2 linked regions of the Daphnia pulex genome follow. The protein of the gene in region 2 purifies or fractionates together with the protein of the main gene of each other region. This does not show direct contact. Links are inferred from orthologs where the notes say so. Each region holds a gene or a part of one and is shown on either strand. Other genes may lie near its edges.

What was found. Proteins that work in one complex are often made in the same cells at the same time.
Region 1: the proteins of iron-sulfur cluster assembly 2 homolog, mitochondrial-like (region 2) and putative transferase CAF17 homolog, mitochondrial purify together in Homo sapiens (co-immunoprecipitation; 4 studies listed by BioGRID and IntAct, with this or other methods). This does not show direct contact. The link is inferred for Daphnia pulex from reciprocal best matches to the Homo sapiens genes ISCA2 and IBA57.

Annotation. Positions count from the first base shown.
Region 1 is NC_060028.1:2,206,864-2,211,057, forward strand, and holds putative transferase CAF17 homolog, mitochondrial, read left to right. Parts: upstream 1-2,296; coding exon 2,297-3,409; 3' UTR 3,410-3,492; downstream 3,493-4,194. Other genes in the region: unc-112-related protein-like, read right to left, coding at 1-62, 149-669, 1,492-1,633; cysteine-rich DPF motif domain-containing protein 1-like, read left to right, coding at 3,521-3,934; RNA-binding protein 34-like, read right to left, coding at 3,976-4,071, 4,143-4,194. UniProt on the Homo sapiens protein: Mitochondrial protein involved in the maturation of mitochondrial [4Fe-4S]-proteins in the late stage of the iron-sulfur cluster assembly pathway. Operates in cooperation with ISCA2 in the maturation of [4Fe-4S] proteins.
Region 2 is NC_060017.1:2,842,075-2,846,168, reverse strand, and holds iron-sulfur cluster assembly 2 homolog, mitochondrial-like, read left to right. Parts: upstream 1-1,932; 5' UTR 1,933-1,987; coding exon 1,988-2,241; intron 2,242-2,300; coding exon 2,301-2,475; 3' UTR 2,476-2,588; downstream 2,589-4,094. Other genes in the region: dihydrolipoyllysine-residue succinyltransferase component of 2-oxoglutarate dehydrogenase complex, mitochondrial-like, read right to left, coding at 43-241, 303-472, 536-771, 838-999, 1,203-1,274, 1,338-1,461, 1,611-1,703; RNA-binding protein 25-like, read right to left, coding at 2,596-2,691, 2,757-2,903, 2,969-3,114, 3,179-3,298, 3,369-3,681, 3,747-3,897, 3,967-4,094. UniProt on the Homo sapiens protein: Involved in the maturation of mitochondrial 4Fe-4S proteins functioning late in the iron-sulfur cluster assembly pathway. May be involved in the binding of an intermediate of Fe/S cluster assembly.

The DNA.
Region 1 (4,194 bases), on a different chromosome or scaffold from region 2:
GTCGCATTGTGGCCGTTGCTGCCCGGAGTCGAATACGGTGAATTCTTTCTCCACGTGCCCGACTGATGGATGAGAAAATAATGATGATTAGTATTATTATTATGAAGACAAAAAACGTGAAAAAATATACATGGCAACAACAACTCACATTAACTGGTGAGCTGATGGGCGTGGGTACGGGAGCCGGGGACCGATTGATGGTCGTGTTGGGCAGGACGGGCGTACATCCGGAGGTGGCCTTAATGTTGTCCAAACTGTTGTTGGAACTGTGAGTCGAATTGCCGTGGTGACCGATGAACGTGTTGGTGTCGGCCGAATTGTTGGCCACCGTCCGCTTCTTGTGCGACGTGTTGGACTCGCGTTCGCGATAATTGTAGCGCAAATCGTCAGACTCGAGCGGCTTGGCGAACGACAGCTCCTCCGGATGCCGGATGCCGAGCTCCTTGCACAGCGTCACGACGGCGTTGAACGTCTTGACGCTGAAATCCACCCGGCAATCCAAGTAGCGCAAATCTGGCAGCTGGACGCGCAGCGTTTTGTGCATGGGAGTGAAATGCAGCAGAGCATCCGCCTGGACGCCATACTGATCCAGCGTCGAACGGGTCCTGGACAGCCAACAGTTCCGAGCTGGCCACCAAAGAGCGTGATCCGACCAATCCGCCGCAATATCTAAAAATACGAAAAGAAGATAAGATGTAACAAAATGTGAATATAAAATAGACTGGTGGGGGGTCATAAATTTTGATTATTCCAAAACATCCATCACTGTGATCACGTGATGTTGGGCGTGAAATTACACACACATTCAGGTGGGTGGTGGTGGTGGTGTATATGGGGCGGAAATGAAATGGGTCATGGTGGCCAAAAAAAGGGCGTCGTCCTGAATAATTTCGTTTCTGAAATCAGAGACGTTTGTGGTTGGGTAAAATCATCCGGATGTTACGCCGAACCGCGATATGTGCACATAACACAAGCTGCTGACGGTGTTTCCAACAAACTAACTTTTTTTCAAAAATAAACATTCAAGTGATCCTTGACGTGATGAGAATACCGATCACCAGACTGTGCATTCCAATCGCCCGCCCTATTTCGCTTATAGCCTTTGCCAACGGCGGAATCAAAGAGAGAGGAGTGCAACCTTTCTAGGACTTGTCGGATTTTATTTGATTTTTTAATATATTTATATTCAGAGGGGTTTTTATTTTATTTTTCAAGAGAGATCCATTGTAAGAGAGAGTGACGCGAGGGGAGGCTATTTTTAAATGCCGCCTTTTTTCTTTCCTGTCTGCGCTAGACTGGGCCGACAGAGGGAGCACTAGTAGCTGCTAGTGGGCGACCAAGAACTCATTTCAGATGTGGACAAGATGGCTCCCCCCATAATGTCTTTTAAATGCAAGCAAACAGACGCCTGGGAAATTGGGGCGTGATGATGTCAGCCTCGCAGTTGAATCCCCAAATATGGGCAAACAAGGACAACAAATAATTGCATACCTAATTCCTCGACGAGACGCAGCATAACACCACCAATGTGCAGGTCACCTTTGACCCGGAGACATCGCTCGACCGACAAGTCAGTCACCAACACCTTCAATTCCCAGCTCCCGTCACCGACCAAATGTCCGTCGGCAATCATCTTGAATTTTTCTTCTCTCTCTCTCTCACAAGGCAGCAGCAGAGCACCTGTAGCTTAGAGCACCAAACAATAATTTCCAAGAGAGAGGCGATGCCCGTCCGTGACCAAACATGGGCAACACAAACGGGGCAACCCACACACACACACAACTCTTTTCTCCTTTCCAACACCAAACACACACACACACACTCAAATAGTTCGATGGCTTTTTCAGACAGAATGAACAGTTCCAAAATTGTTCAATCACTAGTTGACATCTTGACGCAGTCGAGGTGATCACTTATTCAGGGGGCGAATCAACCCTTGTGTGTGAATAGTGTTGGAATATAAACAGATGGCCGTAAGACCAAGTCGACGTTTCATCCAGACTCGGTATGAGAGAGTCGTGTAACTAACGCCTTGGTACCCTAAAATCCCACTTCCAGATCTAAACAATCGATTCAAACTTTTAATCGATCACGAAACGTAAAAAAAAGTGAATCAAAATAATATAATAGTTTGTTGAGAGCTTACATTCATACTTACTGCCTTGAATTCCATTCCATTATAATCTCAATATCGCACTGATGAAAGCAATCTCGATCTCCTGATAAACAAAAATAAAAAACCTTGGACTAGATCGACTAGATTAGGAGATTTTCTAACATTTTCAAGCACCGTCAGATGGCGCTGGAGTTCCTACATTTTAGTTGTAAACAAATCGAATCGACCACGACTTGCTCAACAATCGAGCTCAATCTCTCTCTGCAAGGTACGATAACAATTTTAACTCCCCTTCTACCAAAAGTTTCGTCCATGTGGCGGTCTATTCAAGCAGTTGCTCTGAGATCGGTGGCCGCTAGTTCGGTTCGACGCGTTCACCAGAAATGCACAGTAAACGCACAGGAACTCAAAGGAAGGGCAATCGTCAAAGTTTCTGGAGTGGATGCCGGTCCGTACCTTCAGGGTCTTATGACAAACGATATCAAACACTTGGACGAAGATAACAATCCCAACATGTACTGCATGTTCCTCAACCGGCAGGGAAGAATACTTTACGATGCCATCATCCACTCTTCAAAAGAATCTGGCAGCTACCTGATTGAATGTGATGCAGAGTGCTCGGAATCTCTAGCAAAACACCTCACCATGTTCAGAGTCAGAAGGAAGGTGGTTATCTCTGTAGAGGAAACACTGAAGCCTTGGGTTCTCTTTGATCAGCCCCCCGAAGATCTCAGTAATGAAGTCATTTTAGCCCGAGATCCCAGAGTCAAGGAACTGGGATGGCGAGTGTTGGTTGATTCCAACAAAAGTCTAAGTCACCTAATAAAGAATCTCTGCGTGGACAACACTGATCGATACACTGAACTCAGATATAAACTTGGTGTGGGAGAAGGCTCTCGAGATATGCCACCCGGCACATGTTTCCCACTCGAATGTAATTGCGACTACCTGCACGGCGTCAGCTTCCATAAAGGGTGCTACTTGGGACAGGAACTTACGGCCAGGACTTACCACACGGGTGTAACCAGAAAACGTTTGATGCCGGTTGTCTTCCAACAGCCTTCCGATTCCATCCAGTTAGAATCGACCATTTCTGATGAAAACGGACAACGGGTGGGAAAACTACGAGGATATCTTCACGGATCAGTTTACGGTCTCGGCCTCTTGCGGATACAACAAGCCCTCTCTTCTTCTCAATTGAAAATCGACTCGAATCTAATCGAAACCCACCGACCGGCTTGGTGGCCCATTGAAGCGCCCAAAGATCGCGCCCAACTTGAATCTAGCTCTTAAAATAAAAAGACTACCCCCACAATAGATACATTTTACATGTGTTTGGCATTTCAATTTGTTACAATACAATGTTTTTCTCTGTTCCACTTTTGATTTTTCACTTATCCTTAGATGGACAGGATTGATCCAGTGGTGAAGCAGGAACCGACTGAAGAACTTGGTGAAATCGTGAAACCCAAGGAAGAAAAGAAAGCAGAACAAATCGAAGAAGGTGGTCAATTTCAGTGTGCCTTGTGCGGCTGGTCAGAGCGTTACCACGGTCACGGCACAAGTCTTCCTTTCGCCCGCGGAATAAACTTCAACGAGGACGCATACGTCATGCGAGATCCATTTGTTCCATACGCCCAAAATCTCTATTTCTTCCTTGGAGCTCCCTGCTCAGCATGCCAACGACTAGTTTGCGCCAATTGCAGCCTGTTTTATTCTAAACGATTTTGTGGCGAATGCGCCAACAAAAACGTGCAACATTTTCCCGTCGAGGTGCAGAAAAAGATTCACGAATTGAAAACTAATAAAAGCCAATAATTCGAGAAGAGGAAAAACTTCGTTTTTTATTATTATTCTGATTACTTCTTTTTGTTAACGAAAGCCAATTTGGCGGCAATTATTTTCTTCCGCTGCTCCTCCTTATTTCTTTTTACTATTTTGCCAGTTTTGACGACCTACGAAAGAGGAAAAAAGCATTAAAAGACCAATTGTTACTTGAAAATAAAAGACTTGATTTTAGTTTTACCTTGGCACTGTCGTTACCAGTCGTTTCTCCGGCAAACGAATTGACTTTAGCT
Region 2 (4,094 bases):
ATTAATAATTTAACTCTTAATGCTAAACTGTAGCAGAATTACTTTTGGTGTGGCAACCGCCACAGATATGTCGATGTAATCGCGATAGACGATTTCATTTCCGTCGATGACGGCATTGACAGTAGGTTGATCAGCAAGGGCGCAAGCCGCGGCCTTGACGAAAGCTGACATGAAACCCAACTTGATTTTGTGAACTTTCAAGAAGGCGTCACCGTGTGTTTTTCTCAGCTCCATGATGTTGCTGTGAATTTAAACGAAATACGTTAATCCACCTATGGCATCAAGAGACAATGGCATACTACCTCATATCAATTTCGTTAAAAGTTGTCAACATAGCGTTGACATTTTGGGCTTCCTTCAGCCGCTGAGCAATACGCAGTCGCATGCGGTTCATTTTAACGCGTTGTTCGGTTCTTGTGCCAGTAATTTCCTTGCTATAATCTGCAGGTGGAAGACGGGCTAGGGGAACAGCCTAGAGATAAGAAAAAATTAAGAAAAAGGTTAAAATGATGGGGGAATGACATTTAATTCGTACTTGGGACGTCTGCGTAACGTTAACAGGAGCAGCAACCCGAGGTTGGATGCTTGCTGCTGGGATGGCAGAAATAGGGGTTGTTGGAGGGGATGGGCGAGGAGGAGGTGTTGATGGGATCGCACCAGAAACAGGTTGGGCGGCAGGGGTAGGCGGTGGAGGAGCAGGAGCAGCTGGTGAAGGTGTTGGAGGAGCAGCAGCAGCAGCAGCAGCGGGAGCAGCAGCTTTGGCAGCACCTCCTAGATTAAGAAACGGTTTAAATTTATTTTAAAAATGTAGAAATTTTCTGGTAGCATAATAGTTACCTGCACTCATAATAAAGAGTTTAGCTCCGGGTTGAACAGTAGCACCATCACTAACGCACAACTCAGTAATGACCCCACTGCAAGGGGCTTTAACCGGGATCGATGTTTTGTCCGTTTCAATATGGCATACTTCTTCATCTTCTTGGACTGTATCACCAACAGCTAAAGAAAACAAAAACATTCTATGAAAAACACCATAAGATCCACAGGTGCAAGTCTATCAAGTTGAAAAAAAAGGACGCAAAATGATTTGAAATCTTTGACTTGAAAATACTGAAATTAAGCTTCAAGATTGACATTTTCACTCAAAGATCATTTCTGTGCTACTAATACAGTTGTACCAATACTCTCTGGAAGAAGCATACCTTTATCCCATCTTACATCACCCTCACTGATGGAGTCTGCAAATGGTGGTACCATCACAGTTTTCGCATCTCCTAAAAAAAGTATTTTTTTATTATTATGACTATTTATTGCCATTTGGAACTAGTGAATTTCACCTAGTACTGCAGAAGTTCTGAATCCTCGACTGAAAACTGTGATTGGATTCCATTGGCACCTCACATCATTTCGCTGTTGGATGGACAGGTAGCTAGGCTCTTGAATACCAATTTCACATGTTTCCTGAGATAAAAAACAAATAAGAAGAAATATCATTAAATTAATTGTAAGATGAAAGTAACCAACAGGATGTGGCAAAATCATCCAAGGTACAAGGAACTTCATTGACACATTTTTATTTTATTATTTACTCTTATATAAACATGTATAACCTGATGTTTGAAACAAGCCGAAACTCTGAAATTGCCACGAAATACTTTTGCAATTTGCTTCGAAGAGCCTAGGGAGAGACGTAGAGCAGCCATGATTTTTCTGTTCGACTTCGGCTGATCTTGATGTTAGTTGCGAATGAAATTTGACTTTGCTGGTTAACTTTAAAAACAATATAAAAACTCTCCTTCAAAATTTTAAATTAAAATTTTAGAATTAAAAACGTTATTTTATCTTCGTGTATGAATAAACCGGGAATTAAGAATTTTATGACGAGTTTTTCAAAATAAAAGTAAAATGCAACTGTGGTTGTGCTTTTTTTCGTCTGAATTCGTTTCGTTTTCGTATTGTTACGTGATATTTCTGCTAAACAATAACAATGTTTTATGCGGCATTAGTAAACCGGTTAACCAGATTCCCATCACATATTTCGGCATTCTCATCTTTAAACAATGCTGTTCAAATGGATACCGTACAAGGATCTATAAAGATGACGGATAAGTGCGTCCAACGATTGAAGGAACTGCATAAAAAATCCCCAGAGAAAACGCTTCGGATATCGGTAGAAGGAGGAGGATGTTCGGGATTTCAGTACTTGTTTAATTTGGACACCACGGCAAATGAAGATGACTGGTTTGTACTTAAAAACTAAACTAAATCAACATAATTTTTGACAGTTTTCATTAAAACAGTGTGGTTGAAAGAGATGGTGCGAGAGTCTTTATTGACAAAGATTCCATGCAATACCTTGAAGGAGCAACAATTGATTTCCAGTCTGAGTTGATCCGCTCTGCCTTCCACATATTGAAGAACCCCAAAGCTGAAAGTGGTTGTTCATGTGGTGCTTCATTTTCTCTCAAAGTTTGATTTAAAAATCTATTCAAAGCAGTGTTTTTGTCAAATTGCTGTGTAATTAGTTGTACATAATATGGGGTGAATGTAACAACAACCAATTGCAAAATAGAGACCCAATGCAATCACCCCTTTTCACTTAGTCATGAGACCCAATTTCTTTGCTTCTAATTCATAGATCAATAAGCGCCACATCTTGACAACAAAGACCTCTGCTTCTTCATCAAGTACCTAATAAAAATAAAATTGTTAAAATAGGAATTACATTTTAGAATTTATAGAAATTAAGACCTTACCATCTGAACATCATTGATGATATTTTGTGGTTGGCTTCCTATCAATACTTTGGAACAAATGAATTCAACTAGAGTAGGCTCGGGCTCTCCGATGTACTCCACGATCTTTTTATTGACCCACGGTTTAATCCGCCGCTCCATTATCACCTATGGAGAAAATAAAACAAGAATTTAAGTGGTTATTCGACAACGCGTACTTGTTCATTGTTTACATTGTCCACTAAGCTCCACTCAACAGGATGAGCAAAGAGGGATGCTTTATCCGTTGGAATTTTCTCGATAAGACTCTTGATATTTTTTCTCTTCTCCTCTGTGTTCTTGGGCTCTTTTTCCTTTTTAGCAAGTTCATCGCCATAGTCTATTGGAAAAGAAATTAATTAAAACAGAAATGTTACGGAAAAGAAAATATCTGATTATGTTACCAAGAGGTACAAGTTTCCGTTTCTTCTTGGTCGTGTCTGTATCGTCTTCATCAGCATTGAAAACGGCTTTGATTTCCAGCTTTTTCCGCTTATTGAATACTAAACTGGGTCCCTGTGATCCTGTAATACAGAAAGAGAAACAATTAGTTATACATATGTTGGTTGGGCAATCGATGGCCAATTATCGTACCTTGTTTGCTGTCACTTTCAGTTGGAAGAGGACTTAAGGAATTCGTTGTTGACATGGAATCCTCTTCCATGGCAATGACACTGCTCGCAACACTAGAGCTAATTGTTTTAGGTTCTGGTCCGGTTGGAGTGGATGGAGCTGATGAGACGGGCGTGGTGGAATTGACATCTTTCGTCAACTGGAAATCTTCCACGTCCGATGGTTGTGATGGTAGAGACACGTCCATGGGAGAGAAAGAGCGGGGAGCATCACTAACAGGAGGTGCTGGCACGAGTATCTGAGGCTTGTACTGTTGTTCCCTTTCGTAAAGAGCCTAGGAAAATTCAGAAGAGGTTTTACATCATACATTCGTGAAACTTTGAGCTTTCCCTCTCTTACCTGTTTAAGAGTTGCTGTTGGATCTGAGTGGCCCTCAGAGAAAATTTTCGTCTTGAGTTCCTCGAGCTCTTCCTTCTCCTTTTGACGGTCACGTGTGTCTGATTCCGTTTCTCTCTCACGCTCTGTTCGCCGGCGCTCCATTTCACGGCCTCTGCGCAATTCCAAGAAAGAAACATTAGGCTGATTCAATAAAGAAAATGAGATGGAGGACAAAATTTACTTATAGTATTTTGCATCATCTCTTTCGTCGTCATAGTCTTCAAGGAACTGTTTGAGCCAAACGGCTTGTTTCTGTTGTTCTTCAATCCTTTCCTTTTCCTTGAGCTCGAGTTTGTCGTAATCACGGAG